2 linked regions of the Canis lupus familiaris genome follow. The protein of the gene in region 1 interacts with the protein of each later gene in a pairwise test. Links are inferred from orthologs where the notes say so. Each region holds a gene or a part of one and is shown on either strand. Other genes may lie near its edges.

Region 1 (7,689 bases):
CGGCTCCAGGAGGGGCGGAAGCGAGCCAGTCTCCTCCCCTTCCCGGGCCTTGGGTACAGTCCGATCCCGCGGCCCGTCGCGCCCCAAGGGCTTCTGAGGAGCAACTCCGGGTGCCTGGCGTCCTGCCACCCCCCTCTGCTCGCCCTACCCGCCTCACCCCTCGGACAGCATCTTCTTGAGCCGCTCGCGCTCGGCGGGGCCGGGGACGTCGGCGCTCTGGCTACGGAACAGTTTCTCGTCGCCGGGGCCATTGGCGCTGACGAGGGGACTTGGGGGCACCTAAGGGCGTGCGTGGGCAGAAGAGGGGTCACACTGGGGTGTGGCTTCGGCCAAGGACCGGTAAGGTCATGGTTGGGGTCAGCGCTGATGTCACCGGTATTGTGACTGAAGGCCAGGGTCCTTTCCAGCCCTGGGATGCAAGCGCGCCCCTCTCCTCATCTACCCTCTGTGGCTCCCCATGGCCCCTGGGCCAGAGTTCCAGGCACTGTGCCCCCACTTAGCCTCCCTGGGCTCTCACCAAGGCCCCAGGCACACCTGATTCAGGCTGGTCTAAATAAACCACTGAGATACTCAAAATCTGCAAAGGTGGGGGGAGCAATGTGAAACCTCTGTGCTATTCCTTCATAGCTATGTCCTTCCCTGGGGCCAAATTTCCACCTGCTTTTAAGATTCAGACAGGAAGCCCTCCACCAGGCCGAATTCATTATGTATCCCCCTCACTGCCTGGCCCGCGGGCTCTGAGGGTCCGGAGCAGCCTGCTTTTTCATCTCTGTCACCCTCTTTCCCAGCCCTGGGCCTGGCACACAGTAGGTGGTCAGTAAATTATGCTGAATAAATTAGTGGGGGAAAGCTCCCGGGACAGTTTCTCACTTGGCCACCCCCCCCCCACCACCCCCATTAGCTATTTCAACCTCCGGGTTTTTACTCCGCCATCTAAGCTGGTTTCCAGGCCTTCGGTGATCCAAGGCTAGGCCGGACCCCCAGGATGTGCTCCTGAGCCTTTTCTTCCAAGGCTCCTGCTGTAGGTGGAGTTTTATGGGATCTGTGAGCATTTGGTCCTGGGCACCAGCACAGTACCTGGACCCTCAGTATCAGCTGAGTGACTGGCAGGCATGGGACAGGAAATACTGACCTGGTGGGCAGCGAGCGCCAGGGCTGGACTGGTGAGCTCCCCCCCATCCTGAGATTTCTCCCTCGCCAGCCTCGCTGCTTCCTTTACTTCCTGGAACTTCTCAGCAAACTGGGGGTGGGGAGGGGAGCAGAACAAACAGTCAAAGCCAACCCAGCCCCCTCTCCCAGGGCCTCACTTGGTCACCCCCACCCAGCACCACCCTTGTCACTTTGAAAGGGACTTTAGGAGTCATGCATATCCTCTGGTCTCATGAACTGGAAGAGTGGTCAGGAGGCTTGGAATAAGTTGTTCCAGTGAGCAGACTGAGTATCATGGTGGAGGTAGGATTTAGGTGGACGTGAATTCCATGGAGCCACCTTGAGAAAGGGATCCCCTGGAACGCCTGAGTGGCTCAGCGGTTGGGCATTTGCCTTCGGCTCAGGGTGTGATCCCAGAGTACAGGGGTCGAGTCCTGAATCGGGCTTCCTTTGTGGAGCCTGCTTCTCCCTCTGCCTATGTCTCTGCCTCTTTCTCTGTGTGTCTCTCATGAATAAATAAATAAAATCTTGAAAAAAAAAAAAAAGAAAGAAAGAAAGGGATCCCCTTCCTCTCAGTCAGGCTTATTTCAGCAAGGAGAGCCTCAGGTGGGTGCTGTCTTTAATGCCCCGGACACTTGTGAATATCTTTTTATAACACAGAGAAAGCAGGTCTTGGGCTCAGAGCCTCTGAGAGGCACCTGTACTCAGTGAAAAAGTAAATCACCCTCTTCTCATTCCTACTCTACCTATACCGATTTTCCAGTTAGGGTAGGATACACTGGTTTTCATTTTAAAATAAACTTCTTTAGTTTGAAAATAATTTTTTAAAGAAAATGTTTACACACAGACGGTCACTCGATTGGGGGGAAGAGACCAGTGCAAGTCGTTGGAGGGAAATCATCTCAAAAAACGGTTGAAGAGCAACTAAATACTCAGTGAGAAAAAATACTCCTGCTTTATACCACCCACAGAAATTAATTCAAGACCTAAATTTGAAAGGAAAATGAAAGCTTCTAGAAGCAAAGAGAATCCTCACGATCTCATTAGGAATCAGAAAGCACTACTCATCCAGGGGAACAATGGGATGAGACAATATTGAAGTCTGAAGACAGCAGAGGGTGGAGGGAGGCAATGATGAAGGTAGTGCTAGGGTGTGTGAGGGAACTCCCAGCTCATCCCAGGCACCCAGAGAAGGGCGGGGTGTGTCCAAAATTGGAGCAGATGGCCAGCAGAGCTGAGACATGAGCCAGGGAACCAGGAAGGGTTGTCTAATTCTCATGCCTATTCTACAGCACCTGCCCAGAGGCCCCCAGGGCCCTAAGAGGAACCCCAGGGCCAGCCCTGTCCTTCCCGCCATGTAATCCTGCAAGCCCACCTGGGTCAGATGCTGCTCAGAAGCAAAGCCAAGGCCATAGACGGTGTTGGCACGACTGTCTGCCCACTGCCCAAACTTCTGGGAGGTTTTGGTAAAGGTCATGTTGGGGGTGACGGTGCTGTTGATGATGGCCTGGGAAGAGGGAAGAGGGGGGAACACAATTCAAGCTTGATGAGACTGACAATAATGAACATGAGACCCCCAGGGTGTCACTTTGTATTAGCTCTTGGGAGGTTCTAGGTGTGAGCCATCTCAAGACAGAGACTGATTTAAGGGCTCCTCCCAACCCCCAGCCCCCAGGCACACAGCAGGGTAATGACTAGACCCAAACCTGCCTCTGAGACCTCAGGAGCCTGCCACCCCCACCCAGGCCCTGCCAGGACCTTGGCACCCCCAATGCTGATGATTCGGTAGACATTTCGGGTGGCATCATAGAAGTAGGAGACCGTGAGTGCGTGCTTGCCCGCGGGGATCCAGTTCCGCTTGGTGGCCGGGTCAATCTGGAACACATGTGCCCGTGTGCTGAAGATGGGCTGCTCCCTGCGTGGGGAGACGGTTCTCAGTGGGGCTAGGCATCCCCCAGGGGGCTCAGGGCCAAGCTGGGGAGGCAGGGGCTCACCTGGCTGTGGACATTGGTCAGGTTGGGTTGGGTGGGCTCCAAGAGGCAGCCAGAGGGATGGCAGGAGCTGCGGGTTCAGCCTCTGGGGGGAGAGAGGGATTGTGAGTGTCTCCCCAGGACAGGCTTAAGGAAACCAAGCGGGTCCAACCTCAGGACCCACCACCAGCCACACCATTCATAGAACCTCAATTAGAAAGGTAAAGGAATCAGCAGATCATTCAGCAAAAACACCCTGTCCCTCTCCTTTGGGAGGAAGCCCCCACACACCCTGAGCAGGAGATGACTCTCCGAGAGGAGCCAGGTGGCCCTGGATCTCCCAGCATAAACTTGTCAGCATGCTGGTTACTGAACCCAGAGTGACACCCCCTCAATACTGGTGCTAGATAGAGAAGGCCAAGGTGAACTCCTACTTGGTATTTTCTGCCACATTCACTCATCACTCCCCAAACCAGGATCTCCATCAAAATGTGGCCATCACCAGATGCCTCCTGGGAGACCAGTTCCTCCTAGATCCCACAGAGGGACCCCTCAGCTTCCACTCTAGGGCAGAGGCACACTTGGAGGCAGAGTCCAAATCCCCAGGGAGCTGCCAGCCTAGTTAAGAAGATGTAGTCAAACAAATTTACCCTGGTACCCACTAACCGATTGCCCATGACCACTCTATCCCAATACCATGCAGGGCTGGGTGGCATCAAGGATTGGGAGATCCCCAGCCCCTCTTGCTGCCTCCAGCCACGACCTCACAGATACCAGGAATGGCTGCCCTGGAGAATTCCTTAACCTCACCTCTGTGCCTCCAAAACCTGCATCTGGGGGATCTGCAGGGGACCAGGAGGGACCTGGGGAAGGGAGGTGGCCAGTGGGGGAAGGGAGGCCCCCCGCGGAGCGGCCTCCCTGGTCAGAGGAGGGTTGCCCCCCCACCCTGTCCTGGGCAGCTGCTGCCCGGGTCACAGGGTCTGAAACCGGAGCCCCTGTGTGGGGGAGGGGCGGCAGCGCTGGCCCGGGTTGGGAGCAAGTCCTGGGTCGAAGCAGGGTTCCAGGGTGCAGGGGTCCCAGAAACCCAGGCCCTGCCGGCCCTGACGGTCCTGCCGCGACTTGCAGCTTTGGGGAAAGTTACTCACCAACTAGTCATGTGCCTCGGTCGCCGCCGGCCGCGGGGCTCCCGGAGGAGGCCCGGACCCCGCCCGGTGCCAGGATCCCCAGTTGCGTGTGGGGGCGAAGCCCCACCCCATGCGCCCCGGGCTGGGGGGCCTGGTATTCAGTAAGGAAAGAATTCCCATCCGCGTCAGAATCGGGGCGCCCAGTGCGCTCCCCGACTTCGGGAAGTGCCACCCTCGACCCGGGAACTTCCGAGATTCGCGCGATGCCCCCCGACTCCGGGTCCAGAACTTCGGGGATCCCTCGCACCACCTCCGACTTCTAAATTCCGGGGACTCCCTGCCAGCTCTCCAGCCCCGGGTCGGTGATTTCGGGATCCTCTCGTGCCGCCTCCCAACCCCAGGCCGGGAACGTCGGGGACAGCGCAGCCTCCTCCAACGCCGGGTCCGGAACTTTGGGAACCCCTCGCCCCGTGCCCTCTCCGACCCCGGCTCCGGAACTTCGGGGCCCCTGCGCCCTCTCAAGCCCTGGAACTTCGGGGCTCCCCGGCCGCCCCCAGCCTCCCGGCCCGGAACTTCGGGGACCCCCGCGCCCTCGCCCCGGCCCTGGCACCTGGGGGCCCCCGCGTCCCCCGCGCAGGCTCGGACAGCCGGGCTCACCCTGCGGGCTCGGCGCCCCGCGAGTGTCCGGGCGCGAGTCGGGTGCTGCCCCGCGGCGCCGACTCCCCGCAGCCGGGCGCCCCGCTCGCTCGCTGGCTCCGGGGCCCGCGCCCTCCGCGCCGCCCTCCGCGCCGCCCGCGCCTTTGTCTGCGCCTCCGCCGCCGCCCGCGCCGCCTCCGGTCCCATCGCGGCCGGTCCCGACGCGGCCGCCGCCCGCCCCGCCTCCCCGGGCCGCCGAGGCCGCCCCGCAGCGCCCCCTGCCGGCCCTCCGCGGCGGGGGGGGGAAGGGAGGGGCGGAAGCCGGGAGCGGGGCGGGACGGGACTCCCTGGGGGCGGGGGGCGGGGTGAAGAGCGGGGAAGAGGGCCGGGGCGGATGGGGACAGAGACCCAGACCCAGAGGCAGAGACATGAGGGAGAGACACAGGAGGCAGACAGATGGAGGATGGGGCTTGATCGTCCTGTCGGGGCGGCCCTGGCCCTCGGGGCACTGCCTGAGGTCATGACCTTCTGCCTTTGATGGGAGTCCCTCTCCACCTGACAGGGATCTAGAGGCCGGGGCTCCTCTATCGCACGGAGCTGGGTGCTTGCACACAGTAGGTGCTCAGTGGGTGTAGCCTGGAAATGAAACAGACACAGGCTGGGCGAAAGCTAGAAGAGGCTGAGAGAGGCAAACAGTAGGCACTTAATGAGACTTGATCAGGGGTGCCCCGTTAGGAATCGTTCCTGCCTGACTCCCCCCCCAGCTCCAATCCCCTGTTGGGGAGAGGCTTCTATCCACCTTGTCTCCCAGGAGAGGAAGGTAACAATGCCAACATGGTCGAATTATCAGTATTGCTATGTTATAGGGTCTCAGAAGCCAGGGTAGAGCGAATATTGGGGCCCAGCTCCCACCAATTGTGCAAATCTCCTGGAGGTCCTCAGGCCTGGGTTTGCCATCACTGGTCAGGGGGAACCCTTCAGGCACTTGCCAGGAGAGGGTCCAACTGGAGATGAGCCAGGATCAGCCTCCCCAGGCCAGGGTCTGCCTGTGGGACCCACTTACTTGGCAGTCCAGTGGCTGCCCTTTCTCTGGACTCCTCCAAAGTCACACAGTGCCATCGGGTTCGTGGACAGAGGCACTGCAGCTCCCTCAAACCGAGGCCTACAGTTCCCTAAAGCCCTAAACCTCATGCTTGAGCTTTCCAACAATCTCAGAGATTTTGCTTTTTGCCTTCTCCGCCCCGTCTCATTTCCCTGTTTTTATTTCTGTTTTCCCCTGACCAGAATCATCTGGGCTGGTAGCTATCTTCTAATTACCTTTAGGTGAATTCCAGGTCGCGTCGTTTCTGAAGACTTATTTCCAGACCAAGATGGAGTTTACCTTGCTTCAGGCCTTTGCCCAAACTCTCCCCTACACCTGGAATGCCATTTCTGCTGGTGTATATTTGGCCTTGTCCTTCCAGGCTCTGCTCCACTGGCCCCTCTTGCCCTAGAAGCTACTCTATCTGGGGCTTGGAAGGGATCTCGCTGTGTACTGCACCAGGACCCCATCACTTTCTCTGGGACCCTTCATCCGTATTTTTTTTTTAAGATTTTATTTATTCATGAGAGACACAGAAAGAAAGACAGAGACAGACAGAAGGAGAAGCAGGCTCCCTATGGGGAGCCCAATCCCAGGACCCCGGGATCACGCCCTGAGCCAAAAGCAGACACTCAACCACTGAGCCACCCAGGCGTCCCTTCCCTGATGTGTATTATCTGTGTATTACTTCCATCGTGGCCAGGTCTGAGCAGTCTTTGGAGGACTAGCCCATCCTGGAGCCCCAGTCTCACCCAGTATGAGAGGAACCGCTCACCCCTGCTGGGGAAACTGAGGCTCAGGCTCAGTTTCCCCAGCTGCTTCTAACTTCACAAGGCATCTGCACAAGCAAAGGATTTGGCTTCACTTTCAGGCCTGAAGCCACAAAACGCTTTGAACATTGTGGGGAACAAAGAAAATACCGTCTGTTCTGTGCAAAGAGTGACTTTTCCTTATTACCAAAAAAATAATTAAAAAAAAAATTAAGTAACTGGGAAAGGTGCCGACAGGGCCGAGGCTTCTGGAGGCCACTCAGGGTGTGCTGTGTTGGCCGGCTACAGAGCTAGGGCCATGTGGCTATTCTGTGGGGGTGGCCAGGAGAGGGGCCTAGGCTGACTTTATTCCTTGTGTGGGCAGAAGGCAACAACATGACGGAGAGTGGGGAGTTGAATCACTTCCCTGGGCCCCCCTCAGGGCTCCAGGAGAAGTTGGGATGGGGCTCGCCTTGAGCAGCCCTGACCTGATGTAGTGTCACTCAAGTACAAATTGAGGGAATGGCTTTGTCAGTGTGGACCTCACTTTTTTCACCTGGAGAATGGTCTGACGCTTGCAGGGCAAAGGGGTAGAGAGAGGAAGCAGGAGAATCTGGGGAACACGAGCAGCTCCTCACTCTCCTGTGGGTAGAGACAGTAGGGGGCTGCCCCAAGCTGCCACCTCTACCCCAGCCTGAGGCCTAGTCTGCCTGGGGATGTCCTTATAGAATGGGCAGAGGCCACCACCCCAGGGTGGCTGATAAGAAGCAATAGCTTTAAAAAAAAAAAAAAAGAAGCAATAGCTTTCCCTTGGGCATGAGAGAGGGATATAAGGGAACAAACTTCCTGTCACAGAAAAGGCCAAGCAGAGCCTCGAAAAGTTTCTTCAGCTCTAGGGATGCTGTATTTGTAGAGTGGCTCTTATGGGTTAGATTCTGCTCTCTGCCTAGTTAAATCTGACCCACCTCTGGATTGAAGCT
Region 2 (7,754 bases), on another chromosome or scaffold:
AGTCTTTGCTTTATCATCTACTTCTGAGTCCAAAAAATAGATAAAAGAGATCCAGTTTGGAAGAATATTAGCACAATGTTTCTACTCATGGCATGTACAAGTTCAAAATATCATAAGAAATCATTTGAGATATTATTCCTTTAAAAATAGATTTGCCTCAGTTGGTGAATTTTATGTGTGAAGGTCATTACAAATGAGAAGTTTTGGGGGGAGGAGCAGGAAAAAATTAATATCTTTCAAAAGTTTTTACTTGTTTGGTGTGGGAGCAAATAAAATGTTAATACTTTAAATTTAGGTAGGAGTTACAGAGCATATTATTTGAATTTATAGAACATTTTGGCACTTTACAGTGCAGCTCTATTTTGGACAGGCTGGCTCCATCAATAGCAAATTTGAATAAGTACAATACTAGAGAACTATAGCACTAAGCACACTTGCAATGAAAACAAAGCATATCTCTATAAGGGAATAGGTTTAGTTACTAACAATATTCAGCTGACTACCAAATTTGTAGCTGTGCTATTTGTCTTAGAAAGAGCATCTGAGACCAAAAGGGGTTTTAAATAACTTTATTTTCTAAAAATCCGTTCTGCAAATATGTTTTTTTCTACATGGTCACTTCTTTAAAAATGAATAGAAACACAGGCAAAGCTTATCTTGAGGGTACAGGATGGAGTCAGTCAAATTCAGCTCTTAAAGAGTTAAGGTCAACCAGGAGGAGTTCTGCACTTGGCCGCTGTAGAGCGCTGGCCCTCCAGCAGCACTGGATGATCTTCTCAAGTCTTTTCCCAGAGATGGAGTCAGTGAAGACAGCTGCTGACAGAGATGGACGGAGATTATAGGCCACCACAGCGTAGAGCACGTACTGCCGCTCCCCTGAGTAGGGCGCCTCCTTGGTAGCCATTTGCCAAAGAGTGATGGCAAAGGAGTAGATGTCAGCTTTTGGCGTTATCATCTCTCCTTTCAGGAGCTCTGGAGCTCGGTGGGTGTAGGTGCCCCCCAGGGGGTAGGGAGGAGTCTGGAAGCACAGCACGTCTTCCAGCTTCTCTGAGCAACCGAAGTCCCCAATTTTGCAGACATCCTGCTCACTGATCAGAATGTTAGCCGGCTTCAGGTCCAAGTGTACAATGTTTTGTGAGTGAAGGAAAAGCAGGCCTTTCACAATATCTAGGGAATACTGCAGACACTTTCCCAGATTTAATTGCTCTCCGGCACAGCAGTGAGGCTGCACATCCTTCTCAGAGCAGCTTGTGGCACCGTATATGACTTGGTGTAAGGTGACATTGCCACCAAACTCCATGATTATGGTGCCTAGGCTGTTAAATCCCGCAGGTGTGCGTGTGCTTGCAGCCACGACCTGCACGATGTTATCATGGCGAAGCCTTGCGATGTTGAGCTCAGCCCAGAAACTGCGCTGGGATGCCAGTCGGTTCTTGGTGCACTTGTTCACTTGTTTTATGGCCACCAGAACACCATGGTAAGTCGCCTTGTACACGGAGCCAAACCCGCCAGCTCCCAGCCTCTGCAGGAAGCACACCTGTTCCCAGTCGATGGAGCACCAGGCCAGCCGACGTGGTAGCCTTGGAGCCCTGGGAGGAGTGCCACCCAGGAAGAGCTTCCCTGCTTTACTTGGGAGCTCAGAAGGGCTGCTGCAGGGCCGCGAGTCCACCGAGGGAGAAAACTCACTGGGGAGGTAACTGTGCCGGGAAAGAGGTGAGGGCATGGCACCTTCAAAGTGGACCCCAAAGTGGCTCAGGTAAACCAAAAGAAGAGGGTCCCACGAGTTTGGAAGCATCTCTGACTCCTCCTTTGCTCCGCCCAGCGCTTTTCTCCTCTTCCTTCATTTTCCCCAAATGAGCCGTGTCTGTGCTGTTACTCACAAGGGTTTTTATCAGATGAGCGGAAGCAGTCTGAATGAAGTACAATCCTCCTTTTTAGATGAAAATATTTCCCTTCAACACTTAAAGTGACTTTTTATAAAAATAAGCTCTCCACCCAGAAGAGTTCGCCAGATAAACAGCAGTGAGCTGCCTGTGGACTCACCCCCTTTTTCCATTATTTATTATTTAATTATAAAAAAAAACAGCTTTTTTTTTAAGTGTCATCCACTGAACATGATCAGTGTTCAGACTAAAGAGACTATATAGTGCAATGAAATTATTTCACATTTTGCAGGCTATAATGATTGTCAGTGTTATTCTCCAGCTGCATTAAATCACTTCCAGCAGTTATTGGCAGAAATATTTGAAATACGAACAGCTGACATTTGTTTAGCCGATTATGGGGATAATTAGGTGCAACATTCATATATGGATAAAAAATTGTAACCTTAAAGTAATTGATCCAAATACAATCACTAATACAGGTCAAAACATACACCTCCTAAGGTCATCAGGGGAAAGGAAAATTCTCTGACACTCCATTCAGCTCATATAGCAAATTAGCAAGATTTCTTAGCAACATATCGACTTCCTAACAGTCCTGTTCCATGGCAGTTTGGCCCACCCAGTAAGCTCACTTGCAAGAGAGATCTTAGACTTCATGGCAAATGAGTTACAGAAGTTTTGAAACAGAGTTGGGGGAGAAAAAAAATTCAGATTCAGAGCCATAATCAGAGCTTCAAAGAATAACAAATATGAGAGAATCCTAGAAGAGGAAAAATCCGAATAAAAATGGCACAGAATCACCACTGCCTATATATAATGTGGAAACCCAGATGTTAAAAATAAATGAGTCTTGCTACTCAACCATAAGTTCTTTCTTTCTAGTTTTTATAACTCCCCACCTCCCACTAATTTGCATTCCATATTTGAGGAAAAGACCAATAATACTAACCTGTTGATTAAAAAACATAGGAAGGTGTTAGGATCCATATTTTTAAAAAATTGGTAAAATTCTGTTTTAACTTATTGTACTTAGCATATAGGTGATGTTTAACCACCTTCATTTTTATAAAAGAGGTCTGTTTCTGAGATATATTGATTCTGAGAAGATATGTGAATAAACACAAGCCATTTACATAAACCATTTGAAGTCTGTTGGGCCCTAGGGTAGGATTTCTAGTCTATACTACCCATCTGCCTTAGATATTGTGTGTAATATTTAATCTGTTTGAGCCTTGGTTTTTTTTTTTTTCAGTTAAGAAATTAGGATAATAATAAACTTTTTAATTTTGGAATAAAAGTTCGGGAGCCCTGTACAAATAAAGAAAGTCTAAAAATGTATATTATAAAATATATTAGTAGAAAGGCAGTTGAATCAAAACCAAAATATAAAAGAATGACAGTGAAGAGAGTAAAATAAGAAAGTAATAAAATTATATTCTACAGTAAGTCTATTACAAAATTTATTTAATAGTCATCACATAGTTGGCATTATAATTTAGGTCTCCGAAACTTTTATGGTATTAGGAATGCTATATTGATCAAAAGAGTGTCATAACCTTCTTTGCAAAATGATGTGACTTGTTATATAATCTTTATGTTTAAGCTAAGAGCATAGGTAATTCATTTTACAAAGGTTGATTTTATTACTTATATAAGATACAAGGTATTAATGAAAATGTGGCACTCTACATTCACAAGCCCCAAGTTCATTATATCTAGCATCTGCCAATCTGCTCAAGAGTATTTCGTTGAATATCCATTTTAAAACAGCCTCTGGGGCCAGATTGCCTGGGTTTCTTACTATCCTTCAGTTTCCTTATCTGTAAGACGAGGAAAATCTGCCTGAGGACTGCTGTCAGTATTCACAGCAAATACTTAGATCAGGACATGATAAGTAATTCCTAATTGCTAATTATCATTTATGAAACTCATAAAGTGTATATGGGCTTATGCTGTAAGAAACAGATTTGTTAAGACGGTGTCAAAGCGTACCCTGCTGGGCGGCCCCGGTGGCGCAGCGGTTTAGCGCCGCCTGCAGCCCGGGGTGTGATCCTGGAGACCCGGGATCGAGTCCCGCGTCAGGCTTGTTGCGTGGAGCCTGCTTCTCCTTCTGCCTGTGTCTCTGCCCCTCTCTCTGTTTCTATGAATAAATAAATAAAAATTCTTAAAAAAAATAAAAAAGCGTACCCTGCTAGGGCTGAAGTGACTCATTACTTAAGCTAAACCGAAGTCTGACTGGTCTTCTAACTTAAATTTTATTTGAGGTTAGATATGTTAAGAGTATATTGCCTTATTGTTATATACTAGGAATGCAGAGGGTCAACATTTATCTGATCAAATGCAGTCATCTCGTCATAGCAAATAAAGGCAAAGAATATTCGTTAATGACAGGGTAGGCACTGTCTCCTAGAAGTGCAAATGAACCAGACTGGGGGCACCCGGTGAGGAGCAGAAGGCTCTCCGGTTCTTAAAGGCTTTCCGTTTTCTGCTCCGCCTGGCAGCACGCCTGTGGGGAGCTGCGTGGGTTTCAGGCAAGGCTCGGCGTACGCATCCGCAGCTGTGGCGGCGGCGGGGCGGCGGCGGCGGCGGCGGCGGACAGCGGCGGGGCGGCGGCGGGGCAGCGCGCTGAACTCCGCTTCAGCGGCAGACGGGGAGGAGCGCGGCTCGCGGGAGACAACCTCGCGGCTCGCGCAGGGTCTTCCTCGGCTCCGGGGCTCGGGAGGGCGCCGTCCCGCGCGGCCGTGCGCAGGCGGCGGGCACGAGGACGCCGTGGGCGAGCTGCCCGAGGCCTCCCGGCCCTGGGGTCGGCGCGCAGCCTCCCGGGCGCGGGGAAGCACGTGGCCGGCCGTCCCGCCGAGGCGGCCTGTGCCCGGGCTCACTGCGCCCCGCTGCGGCGTGCCCGTGCCCCCTGCGCGCACAGAAGTGCATCTTCGTGCGCTCAGCATCATCACGTAGCCTTCCGGGAGACATCTTTAAGAGGCCGTGCAACTCCAGCCCGCACGGCGCGCCCTCGCCCGCTGACGCCCACGTCGAGCCCTCGGGCCGCGTCTGCGCGTGCGCGCCTCGGGACCCGCCGCCCGGGATCTCCGGTTACAGCCCGACCCCAGAAAGTCCGAAGGCCAAGGAGGGGGCGCCCTGCAGTCCTCGAAGGCTCGAAGGGTTGTACTGCTGCTGTTTGCAAGCATCAGTCGAAGTCGAAAATAAACTTTTGCCTTTTTTTTTTTTTTTTTTTGGAGCTAAAATAATAAGTGAAGACGTGCTTTGCTAAAAATAAAAACTATAAAGTTGAAAAACTTTAAATTTTTTTTTACTTAAGTGGAATTATATTATTAATTAATATTATGAAGTTTGAATTTTATGGTCAGCAAGAATTATGTATGTTCCCATGTCCGTACAGAAGCCTGGAGAGCTACTTTGGTTTTTCTAAAATAATATGCCCAGGGGCAGATCCAGGTTTTGTGGGGGCTTAAAGCTTATACAAACAGAAGGAACCCTTTGAAGGCGTAGGAAGGAGAACCAGACTAGCACTGAGCCTGAGGCGGGGCGCCATCCCCCGACCCTGGGATCATGACCTGAGCCCAAGGCATAGCTTAACCTATTCAGCCACCCAGGCAGCCTTAATTTTACTTTATGTATATTTCCATTCATATACATGACTTTGGCCAATAGTAGTATTTATCAGCTCGTATGTTTTTTGTTAATAAAATTGCTTTCTTGAAACAGATAGGGGTTGATTATGATACAGCCTCTTATAATTTGGGTCAGTGGCAAAAGTTCATTGGCTTTATTTAATATATGCTAAGCTGTCACTAAGTTCTCCCTAATCTATCCTGAATATTAAATACTTAATAAGTTTACTGAATTAAACAATGAATGTGACGAATCTCAAGCTTTTTTTTTAATAGTAGGTTGAATATTGTACATAGTCATATCTTAATTTAGAATCACCAATCTAAACAAATTATTGAATCATACATTTTAAATTAGAGATACAGGCCATCATTCTAATAGGCCAAATTCTCCCACATGTTACAAGTGTATAAAATCTGAAATACACACAGGTTCCCGCTTGCCAGACAGTAATGCTGTGGATTGCATGGATCATGTTTCTGGGTGGAATCTGCACATGCTACCTGCTTCTTCTGTGCATTCACAGAAGTTGGTGGCTCTTACCTGGGCTGTTTACTTGGATTTTGTATTTCGGCTCTTAAGATAAGTATATTTTTACTTCTGTAGTGTTTAACTTCTAATTTCTCTACCTTCCAACTTAACAGGATTTTAAGACCTTAGCAAATGCCTTTCAAATCAGTTTTAAAGATCTTTGAGTTTAATGGTATCTTGCAATTTTTCCATATTCTTAAGACCATAAAATGCTTATGGATATTTGTAATGATATTTGATTGAAATTTGGTGATCTTGAATATCTTTGTTCAACATACAGTTACACCTTATTGGGATCATTATATTGGCATCCACCTTTAAACCAGAAAACACTTTTAAATTATGTTTTTAATATTTACTGAGTTCTGTATCTTTCACTGATAAAGTAAATGAATCAAAATAACATCATATTGGAATAAAGGATTCAGAAGTAATATAGGCTATTAAATTCACCACTTTTATTCAGCTGTATGCCAATTTTTTCTTGTATATCAGTATGGACTCAATGGCTTTTCAGACATTCAATGTGATTTAACCAAATGTAACACTCATTGTCTTTTATTGCTCAAATTAATGCACCCCTGGGTATTAAGGTATTAAAACACTTGTGTTCTTTTGACACAGTCTCATTAATCTGTATTATTTCTCATCTACTGATACAATAAATTGACCCAGGCTTATAACCCGCCATACCCTAGACATGGAATCAGCCATTTCTTTTTTCTTTTCTTTCTTTTTAAAAGATTTTATTTATTTATTTGACAGAGAAAGAGCATAAATAGGGAGAGTGCCAGGCAGAGGGAGAGGGAGATTCAGGCTTCCTGCAGATCAGGGAGCCCAAAGTGGGGCTCCATCCTGGGACCCTGAGATCATGACTGAGCATAATAAGCCTCTGTCTTCTGAGCCACCCAGGTACCCCAGAATCAGCCATTTCTCCAGGGTATCCTGGAGAGATAGGATTAGAAATCATAATAGTAAAGTTTACACATTAGGTTCATTCTCTTAGGCCTTTGACCCTAGCTCATTTTAGCTCATGGAATTAGAAAACATACTTTTTCAAAAAACGTGTTCATATTGATATTTCTAATTCAGTTCTAACATTATAGTTCCTAGTTAAAACATTTTGATTTCATAATTTCCTTCTTATATTTAAAATCTTGATTCTAAACAAAATTAACATAATTACTAATGTTGTCTGACAATTATTAAATAAAGATTAAGATTTCTTTGCAGTTATTTTTATCCTTATACTTAATGCCTACACTTAAGGATGTGTAGTCCAATTATTGTCTGGTAGAGTCACTCATAATAATTTGTTGTGAGTCTATGTAATAATATATAGCATGGCCATATATGTATATGCCATTTGTAATTAGTATGATTTAATTTGTTTTAAATTCTGAGAGGTTATCAGCAATTTTCTTAGAAGGTGGTGGCTTTCAGCCAAGATGTTTTCTTTTTATGTGATATTCAAACCCTGGAGGATGGTAGAAATCAATTAACAGTCTATCTTATGAGATGAAGAGTAAAGGGCAAATCAAGCAAATTAATTTCCCAAATTCTGTATGAAAGTTTCATTTAGCTACCAGCTGGTCTTTTTGTGATGACCAAATGTAATATTATATGCATACGATTCATATATACAAGTTCTGGTTGGGCAACCTAATTCTGTCTTCTATTCAATTTCTGGCAATAGTAGAACCTACA

What was found.
Region 2: the proteins of HOMER3 (region 1) and MOS interact in binary tests that used the Homo sapiens proteins (3 or more experiments, as listed by UniProt). The two-hybrid records come from large-scale screens. The link is inferred for Canis lupus familiaris from reciprocal best matches to the Homo sapiens genes HOMER3 and MOS.

The regions. Positions count from the first base shown.
Region 1 is NC_049241.1:44,586,350-44,594,038, reverse strand, and holds the start of HOMER3 (homer protein homolog 3), read right to left. Parts: upstream 5,037-7,689; 5' UTR 4,901-5,036; intron 4,795-4,900; exon of another isoform or gene 4,265-4,794; intron 3,920-4,264; exon of another isoform or gene 3,226-3,919; 5' UTR 3,158-3,225; coding exon 3,144-3,157; intron 3,065-3,143; coding exon 2,908-3,064; intron 2,657-2,907; coding exon 2,525-2,656; intron 1,241-2,524; coding exon 1,133-1,240; intron 280-1,132; coding exon 158-279; intron 1-157. UniProt on the Homo sapiens protein: Postsynaptic density scaffolding protein. Binds and cross-links cytoplasmic regions of GRM1, GRM5, ITPR1, DNM3, RYR1, RYR2, SHANK1 and SHANK3.
Region 2 is NC_049250.1:8,007,927-8,015,680, forward strand, and holds MOS (proto-oncogene serine/threonine-protein kinase mos), read right to left. Parts: upstream 4,429-7,754; 5' UTR 1,796-4,428; coding exon 677-1,795; 3' UTR 563-676; downstream 1-562.